Arabidopsis thaliana: one gene and its partner. The protein of the gene in region 1 interacts with the protein of each later gene in a pairwise test. Each region holds a gene or a part of one and is shown on either strand. Other genes may lie near its edges. The genes, in order: AT2G20820 and AT1G30475.

The links.
Region 2: the proteins of AT2G20820 (region 1) and AT1G30475 interact in a two-hybrid assay, tested with the Arabidopsis thaliana proteins (one large-scale study listed by BioGRID).

Annotation. Positions count from the first base shown.
Region 1 is NC_003071.7:8,962,181-8,965,939, forward strand, and holds AT2G20820 (uncharacterized protein), read left to right. Parts: upstream 1-2,168; 5' UTR 2,169-2,269; coding exon 2,270-2,378; intron 2,379-2,628; coding exon 2,629-2,699; intron 2,700-2,797; coding exon of another isoform or gene 2,798-2,841; coding exon 2,842-2,875; intron 2,876-2,962; coding exon 2,963-3,057; 3' UTR 3,058-3,244; downstream 3,245-3,759. Other genes in the region: ULT2 (Developmental regulator, ULTRAPETALA), read right to left, coding at 3,665-3,759.
Region 2 is NC_003070.9:10,787,688-10,792,103, forward strand, and holds AT1G30475 (uncharacterized protein), read right to left. Parts: upstream 2,257-4,416; coding exon 2,172-2,256; exon of another isoform or gene 2,033-2,171; coding exon 1,946-2,032; intron 1,691-1,945; coding exon 1,545-1,690; intron 1,302-1,544; coding exon 1,226-1,301; coding exon of another isoform or gene 1,134-1,225; exon of another isoform or gene 996-1,133; coding exon 814-995; 3' UTR 539-813; downstream 1-538. Other genes in the region: AT1G30473 (Heavy metal transport/detoxification superfamily protein), read left to right, coding at 1-420; DRT111 (D111/G-patch domain-containing protein), read left to right, coding at 2,628-3,497.

The DNA of each region.
Region 1 (3,759 bases):
CCTCTCCCGAGTGGATTTGACCATATCTTCTATATGACCGAAACCACACTTCCTTGCAGCTCTCATGGACTTGTTAAAACTCAATCATGTCACATTGCAAGATAAGTACTCTTCGTCCGCTCTAGAAACATTTATTGATGACATGGACTAGGAATACAAGAAAAGAGAGTAATGCACAAGTTCAAAACAGCGAGAGACTACATGAACATTAAAGACATGAAACAGTAATTTCAAACCTGATATTATTACTCAGCCAAAGCGTGGCCCAGTTATTTGAACGACTTTGGAAACAGTAATATCATTTATATACTACTATTAAGATTTAAGAATAAGCGTTTACCAAGAAAGAGAATATTCAGTCCTCTCAAATGGGAAATCGAAACGTCATGAAAAAAAGAGGAAAATAAATGAAAAGAGAGAGACGCTTTGTTCTATATATAAAGGAACCCTAAACAAGTGGTAAAGAGCAAAGCAAAACCTTTTAGTTTCAATGTCTAAATTCTATTCATAAACCCTAAATCGATCCATGTCTTAGAAACGATAGAAATTCCGCTGAAGATATCTTCAAGCGACGAAGATGAAATGGAGACTCCAATTAGAGAAGAAGGTGAAGAAGACTCTTCGTCGGAAGAAGAAGATGATGATATGTCTTCTAATAACCCATCAGCTGCAACAGAGAAGCAAAAGAGAGTTTATTGAGTAAAAACGAAATTTATAGGAGATAATTTTTCCTTCGTCATTTCAACCATAAAGCCAAACCACAAAAAAAAATCTCTTCATCTCCCTCAAAACTTGAAATATGGTGAAAACAACTACTCAAGGTACATCACGTAAGATATTGACAATTTTTTATTTTTATCATTGCATGAAAATTCGTTTTGTCATAATCTTAATCTCTATTTGATCTATGTGTGTAGCGAAAACCAATGACAACGTTAATTGACTCATACACTGCACAATGTTGAAAGTGTTTCAAAGTGAGATATAGAGAGTCACAAGAAGAGTACGAAAAGAATCAAAGTAAAACTCCGAAAAAAGTCTTTTGAATGCAAGAGATGTGAAAAATCTAGAGATGTGGTTGTGAACTTTGATTCCCCTATTGTGCGTTGGTTTCAGGATGGACATGGTATACCCAACACCCCTCAAGGTTTGAAGAGGGTTTTGATCGTCAGAACAAGCTGCGAGAAAGCCGATGTTTAATATGAAACATTAGCTCCTAAACGAAAGAGACTAAATACTGTGAAGAAAGTCACTAAGTTTATTGAAGACAATGAACAATTCAAAGACATGAAGATTGAAGAGGTTTCTTTTACCGCACCCAAACAGCTGAAAAGGAAAAAGTTCTAAATAATGATGTTATAGTTGTTGATATTAAAACTTGAAAAATCAACAAGTTAAGGAAACTAAAGAGACAGAATAAACCTTAACTTGTTGATCTTTTCAAGTTTTGTTATCGGTAACTACAACATCCTTACTTATATTTTTTTCTTTTCAGCCGTTTGGGTGCGACAAAAGAAACCTCTTCAATCTTCATGTCTTTAAATTGTTTATTGTCTTCAATAAACTTAGCAACTTCCTTCACAGTCTTTAGTCTCTTTCGTTTAGGAGATACTGTTTCATAATAAACATCGGCTTTCTCGTAGCTTGTTCTGACGATTAAAACCTTTTATAAACTTTGAAGGGTTTTGGGTATTACCATGCCCATCCCGAAACCAACGCACAGTATGGAATCAAAGTTCAAACACATCTCCAGGTTCTTCACATCTCTTGCATTCAAAAGACTTTTTCGGTGTTTTACTTCGAATCTCTTTGCATTGGATCTTAATAATGTTTGAGCCGACCATGTTCTACATATGATGAACAAAACTCAAGCACTAGCGATTATTAAGGCTTTTTTTTTTATTTCTATCGATCTTTTTTTTTTTACCTATTGATAATGTTGATGTTGAAATACTCAAACATGGAAGTGGAATTCAAAAATACAACTAAAGATCTGTTTTCTTAGTACATACAGAATTGAGAAACAGAGAGATGAAAAATGCCAAGAGTGTGAACAAAAGTCCACAAAACAAAAGCCTCTGACGGAGAAGGAGGCTTTTAGGTGTTACCCAAACAAAACGCACACAATACGGCGTCGTTTAGAATCAGAAAAGACATTTCTTTATGGTCACTTGATTCTCTCTTCCTTCATCAATCAATCTCGTCTCCTGGAAAACATTAGGGAGCCTCTCAGATCCTCAAGAAAACCCTAAATCAAAAGTCGAGATCGATGGCGTCCTTCGCTCGCCGTGCCATGAGCTTAGCTCAGATCCCATCTGCTCGTATTTCCTCTGGAGCCGCTTCTATTGGTCAGCGTCGTTGCCTCGCCGGCGCCGCTGGTAAATTCTCTCTCCCTCTTCCTTCTCTTTTCGATATTTACGATTTTTTTCGGTATCAATTTTGGTGGCGTATAGCTTATTTCGCACATTTTATGTCTAATTTGTGTTTTCACGAATTTTAGATGAACCAAATGTTACAACTTTGTGAAGATTTTGTATATCATTGGCGTTGTCAGGTTCCAAATTGAATCACTGTATACAAAAAATTGAGTTTTTGAGCATTTTGTGGATTTGTCTGTGTACTGTGCAGATCACCATGGATCTACCAAGGTTGACTTCTGGAAACAGCCCACGAACCCAGGAAACTGGAAAGAGGAGCATGTATGTATCAATCATGTGTTTGTGACACTGTGTTTTTGTTAATGAAAGCTGTGATTTTTTGTTGAATTGATTCCTTCTGTTACCTGACCAATCTGCAGTTTGTGCTTATTTCTCTGTCTGGCTGGGGCTTACTTTTCTACAGTGGATACAAGCTCGCCACTGGGGGAAAAAAAGAGGTACTTACTCTTGCTCTTCAGCTCTTGCTCTTCTTCCATTGCCTAGAGGCTTCGGGTTCCTTCCCTTATACATAGTTTTTTTTGCAGACGCCTGTGGAGAGTACACAATGAGTTTCATTGTCACCAGGAAGACCTTTTATGGAGAGACCTCTCATTCTCATGCACTTTGTTTTCCCTTTTAGCAGATTGTGACTGGTCTTGTGTTTCATTTTGAAAATAATTTGCATCACTTTTGAGATCTGATGATGTCTGCAATGGATAAATTCTTGACAGTTTTGTGTTTCATAATATCCTATGTTTGAAACAGACAGGATTTAAGCAAATCATTGTCTCACTACGTATGTTGATATATGCTTTCGAGCTATTTCCTTCCATTCTATTTGTCTGGTTTGGATACCAATTTTTGTTGGAGGTATTTCTCCATGTATGTCGTCCACCTTCCAAGTACATATTGGCTAATCCAAATGTTTGTAGCTGCTCTTGTCTCATGCTTTTATTCTTGACATAGTTTATTCAGCATACTATTACAGTCACTGCTTGCTTCTTGTTATCGATCTCCTGCCTTGTGTGTATTTGCCGAGGTTATATGGTTGAATTTAGATTAGATTCATGTCCTCGTAGTGGTGCTAAGTTAGTTTTCCAAGCCCCAAGTCGGTTTTTTTTCCAGTATGTGATCCCTACTTGGTCTCTCCACTCGCATAACAGGTGTAACAAGCTACTGATTAAAGAAAATGCAGAGCATACATTACAAGTTTTTGCAGAAGAATTAAATAAGTTAGAGAAATGAAGTCAAATGGGTTTGGCATTGGTGGTGAAATCGAGGCAAGTCTGGCAGTTACAATCAGAGAAACGGCAGAGCTTGCAGCCGAAGCAGACGCAAGAAG
Region 2 (4,416 bases), on another chromosome or scaffold:
TCTTATGATCCTAAACCCATGGAACGTCAATTCCAAGAGAAGATGATGCAGCAGAAGAAGAAGAAGTCTGGGATACTAAAAATGCTTTCTCTTTTATGGTGTTTCAGCAGTAAATCAAAAGTTGTTCAGCCTTTACCGATGCGAAACCGAAACTGGCATGTCCCATCAAAGTTTGAGAATGTTCCTCCTGGCTTTGGCTTCAATTCTACTACATCGTCGCAGTTGCGGCCTCCGCATCCAATGATGCCCTATCCACCAATGATGCAACCACCAATGATGCAGCAACAACGACCACTAATGATGCAGCAACAAGCACAAGTTCCAATGCCACCTAATGTTAACATGTTCCAGTCAGCACCCCAACCGTTTAAGATGCACCCTAAGTTGCATTACGGGGAGCAGAAACAGGTTGTCACCTAAGCTACTTGTTCTGTTGATTATGTCTCTGATACATATACTAAGCAAAAGAATTGTTTTTAAGTTTCGTATCTTTTGCCAATTGCCGATAGTGAACATTTCTCAAGTCTGGCAAACTTTTAAAACAAAAGAACAAGGGTACATTTTGAATTCATTTATGTGTGATTCTCTGCATCTCCCAAACCTGGTTCCATAAACATTTGGATAAGATGAGCTTTGTTTGTGTCACGGAACAAGAATCTCATTCATAACCCAACAGAGAAAACATAAATAACAACTCAAATCTGTGCCTATTGCTAGTACTAGAATCTATTGTTTTTGATACAGAGATTTCTCTTGGAGAATACTTGTCTTGAGATTTGTCTGTTGTGCTTGTGCATCATGTTTTCCTCCGATTTAATGGTTGTTTTCATGTTCGCCCTCCAAATCTTTCAAGTATCCCATGAACAAAAGAAACCCGAAAAGGAAGAATCCACCTGAAGAGCTCCCTCCACCGCCTCCGCCACCACCACCACCACCATCATCCCGAGGTGGGAACCCGTTTCCACCGTCATCAAGCTTTGGGGATTTAACTTTTCCTGATATTTAAGTTAAGGCTAAAAAAATAAATTCTGAAGATACAAACAAGAATAGACCAGTCCGTTTCTGTTAAAGCACATTCTCAAGAATAAGAACCATAGCAAGCCACAATTTGAGTTCAAAATAACTGTTTCATATTAGCTAGAATCGTATGGTTTTTTAAGCCCCTCTTGTTTGTTAGAAACGCAAAATAGTTGTTCAACATAGAGAAGGGGATGAAACAATTTACCATGAGTAGGAGCTTGTGTGATTGTTGGTGATTGCCGTGTAACGGTCTGTGTTTGTCCTTGACTGCATTTTGAATTCTGCAGAAAACAAATCAGAATAAGTAAACAGCTAGCGTTTCAGAGACACTTAGGAAGAGAATACCGGAAAATAAACTATTATCGGCCATAAGAGCAAAAGGATCTTGTTCATAAAACAAGCAAAATGGCTTATGATGTGTAATTAAGTTATGTGAGCAAAATGGTGTGTGATGAAGTTATCCCAACAGCTAAAGATTTAAAACACTTAAACTTAAAGGCTGCAAAGTCATGAATGGAACCTACCAGCGCAGAGTTACATGCAAAGACTGGTCTTTTATTCTTAGAGACGACAACTGGTTGCACTGCATCCTGGAGAGAAGGGAATTTACTTTGGCTCCAAGGCTGGCGTTGCATAGAAACGCTTGTAGGATAACGCCTTTGAGAGTTTCCTATTACAGACAGCAAGTAGAAGAAGAGCTTTAGAATTCCATTGTTCATTCAATAAAAGCAAGCTCGAACGATGGGACTAAAGCAAGAATCAATGCTACAACAACACTCACTAAAGCTCTGAGATATCAATAACAACAACAAGTCTAGTTTCTTCAATTTGTCAAGAGCAATCCAAACTCAATTTCAAAGAATTTTCCAAAGAAGCAATTGTAAACTTAAGAGCCAACAAGTGTTGAGATTTAGAAGAGACATACCATTACTCGTAAAAGATTTCTCACGAGGAGCGAGGTACACCGATGTTTGTGTACCAATACACAATGATGGATTCATTACCGGCATAACTACAAACAGCAACAAAACAATAATCTTTAACCTATTTCACAAGGGAGAAAAATAAAAAAAAAAATCAATTTCTCATAAATCGAATAGAGAAAAAAATTATGGATTCATCAATTTTGAAATTCGATTAATGATAAAAACCCATAGAGATTTGGATCAAAGCAGGTAGATTTTTTGTCGAGGAAAAATTTGGGATTTTGGTTGCTCCTCGAAGCTTCTCGATCATAGAGGACGAAACGCAAATAAATAGTTTATAAGAAGAACAAAAAAGATGAGGAACGTGAATCGCACCTGAAGACTAAAACGCAAAAAGACGGAAAAAACAAAGATCTTTCTTAGGGTTTATGTAAAATTCTCGCACAAATCAATTTTAAAGCGTTGGCTTCTATTGCAAGAATCTAAATAGCCCAGAAAATAAAATAAAAGGACAAAATATTTCTCCTTTGTTTGTCGGTTTTTTATTTTCCAACAAAATGATATTTGTTTTATTTATTATTACTAAGGCTGATCGGAAAAAATTAAAAACCCTAATTTGAGCAGATCTTTCCAATTGAAAGCGAACCGTGAATTTTGAGTCTCTTTACCGGCGGCGAAAAAATGCTTGGTGGATTATACGGAGATCTTCCTCCACCGACCGATGATGAGAAACCCAGTGGAAACTCCTCTTCCGTCTGGTCAAGCAGTACCAAAATGGCTCCACCTACACTTCGCAAACCACCAGCTTTTGCTCCCCCGCAAACAATCTTAAGACCTCTCAACAAACCTAAACCTATCGTTTCGGCTCCGTACAAGCCTCCTCCTCCTTCGAATTCATCGCAATCGGTGCTTATTCCGGCGAACGAATCAGCACCTTCGCATCAGCCTGCATTGGTTGGTGTGACTTCATCGGTGATTGAAGAGTACGATCCAGCGAGACCTAACGATTACGAGGAGTATAAGAGGGAGAAGAAGAGGAAAGCTACGGAAGCTGAGATGAAACGAGAGATGGATAAGAGAAGGCAAGAGGATGAGGAAAGAGATAAGAGAGAAAGAGAAGAGAGGGAGAAGGAGAGAGAGAGAGATAACAGTGATCCGTCTCGGTTGAATATCTCCGGTGAGGAAGCGTGGAAGAGACGCGCTGCTATGAGTGGTGGTGGAAGTGGTGGGAAGGGAAGATCTTCGTCTCCGCCGGGGAATGTTGATGGGTTTAGTATTGGGAAATCGGAGACGAGTGGGTTAGGAGTAGGAGCAGGTGGACAGATGACAGCTGCTCAGAGGATGATGGCGAAGATGGGATGGAAACAAGGACAAGGGCTTGGGAAATCAGAGCAAGGGATTACTACGCCATTGATGGCTAAGAAGACTGATCGTAGAGCTGGTGTCATTGTCAATGCTAGTGAGAATAAATCTTCTTCGGCGGAGAAGAAGGTTGTTAAGAGTGTTAATATCAATGGTGAACCAACCAGGGTTTTGCTTCTTAGAAACATGGTATGCGTTTCAATAACATCTCTTATCAGCTTATGGATTCTTCAGTTCTTGAGTTTGGATGCCACAGTCTTAGTTGAATCAGTATTAGTAGGCCAAAGTCAATTTAGAACTTATTCAAATCAAACGTGTTGTTATACTAGGACACACTTTGCTACAATGATTTAGAACGGTCTGTTAGAATGATATTAATGTATTCCAACATTTGATGTGGTCTTAGTTAAGAAATTGTTACTGCTAATTGTTGGCAGCATGTGAGGGCGTAGTATTGAATTACGGTTGACAAAGATGTCTCTGTGGAAATGGAATTGAGTAATGGGATGCCATTGGAAAGTAGGACCTTTTGTGACTATGTTGATTTTTTCAAGCTATCGTGAAGTTAAAAGCTTTGGCAGTTTTGTGATGATAATTCTTTGTTGGTGAAGCTTGTAGCTTAGAGTGTTACTTATGTTATGGTAGCCTAGTACACTGCTGGATTGTTATAGAATTTAGATTGCCTACTCTTTGGAAACAACAGTTTAAGTTACAGTATCTTTCCCTCAAATAGTCAAATAAGCATTTGGAACCGTACTTTGGTTTTTGGGGATAGCCTAACCTGAGGCTTTAAGCTTGGATTGCCAAATACTAGAGAGTTGACAAATGAATCCGTAGGGGTTGGCATTTGATGAAGTAATTTTTATGGTTCTTGGATTACTGTAATAACTCGCAAGATCTATTCTTTCTGTGTTTTTTTTTTTCATTTCTTGACTAATTTTTGATGGAAATTCCAACCATGTAGTTATTGGTATGTGAATGAATGCATCTTCACATTGATTGTCATAAACGTAGGCACATTCTTGTTATTCTGATTGTTTTCACCATAACAAGTACTTGTTGGAAAAATCGTATCTTCCTTGTCTCATGTATCAATTCTGGTTGACCC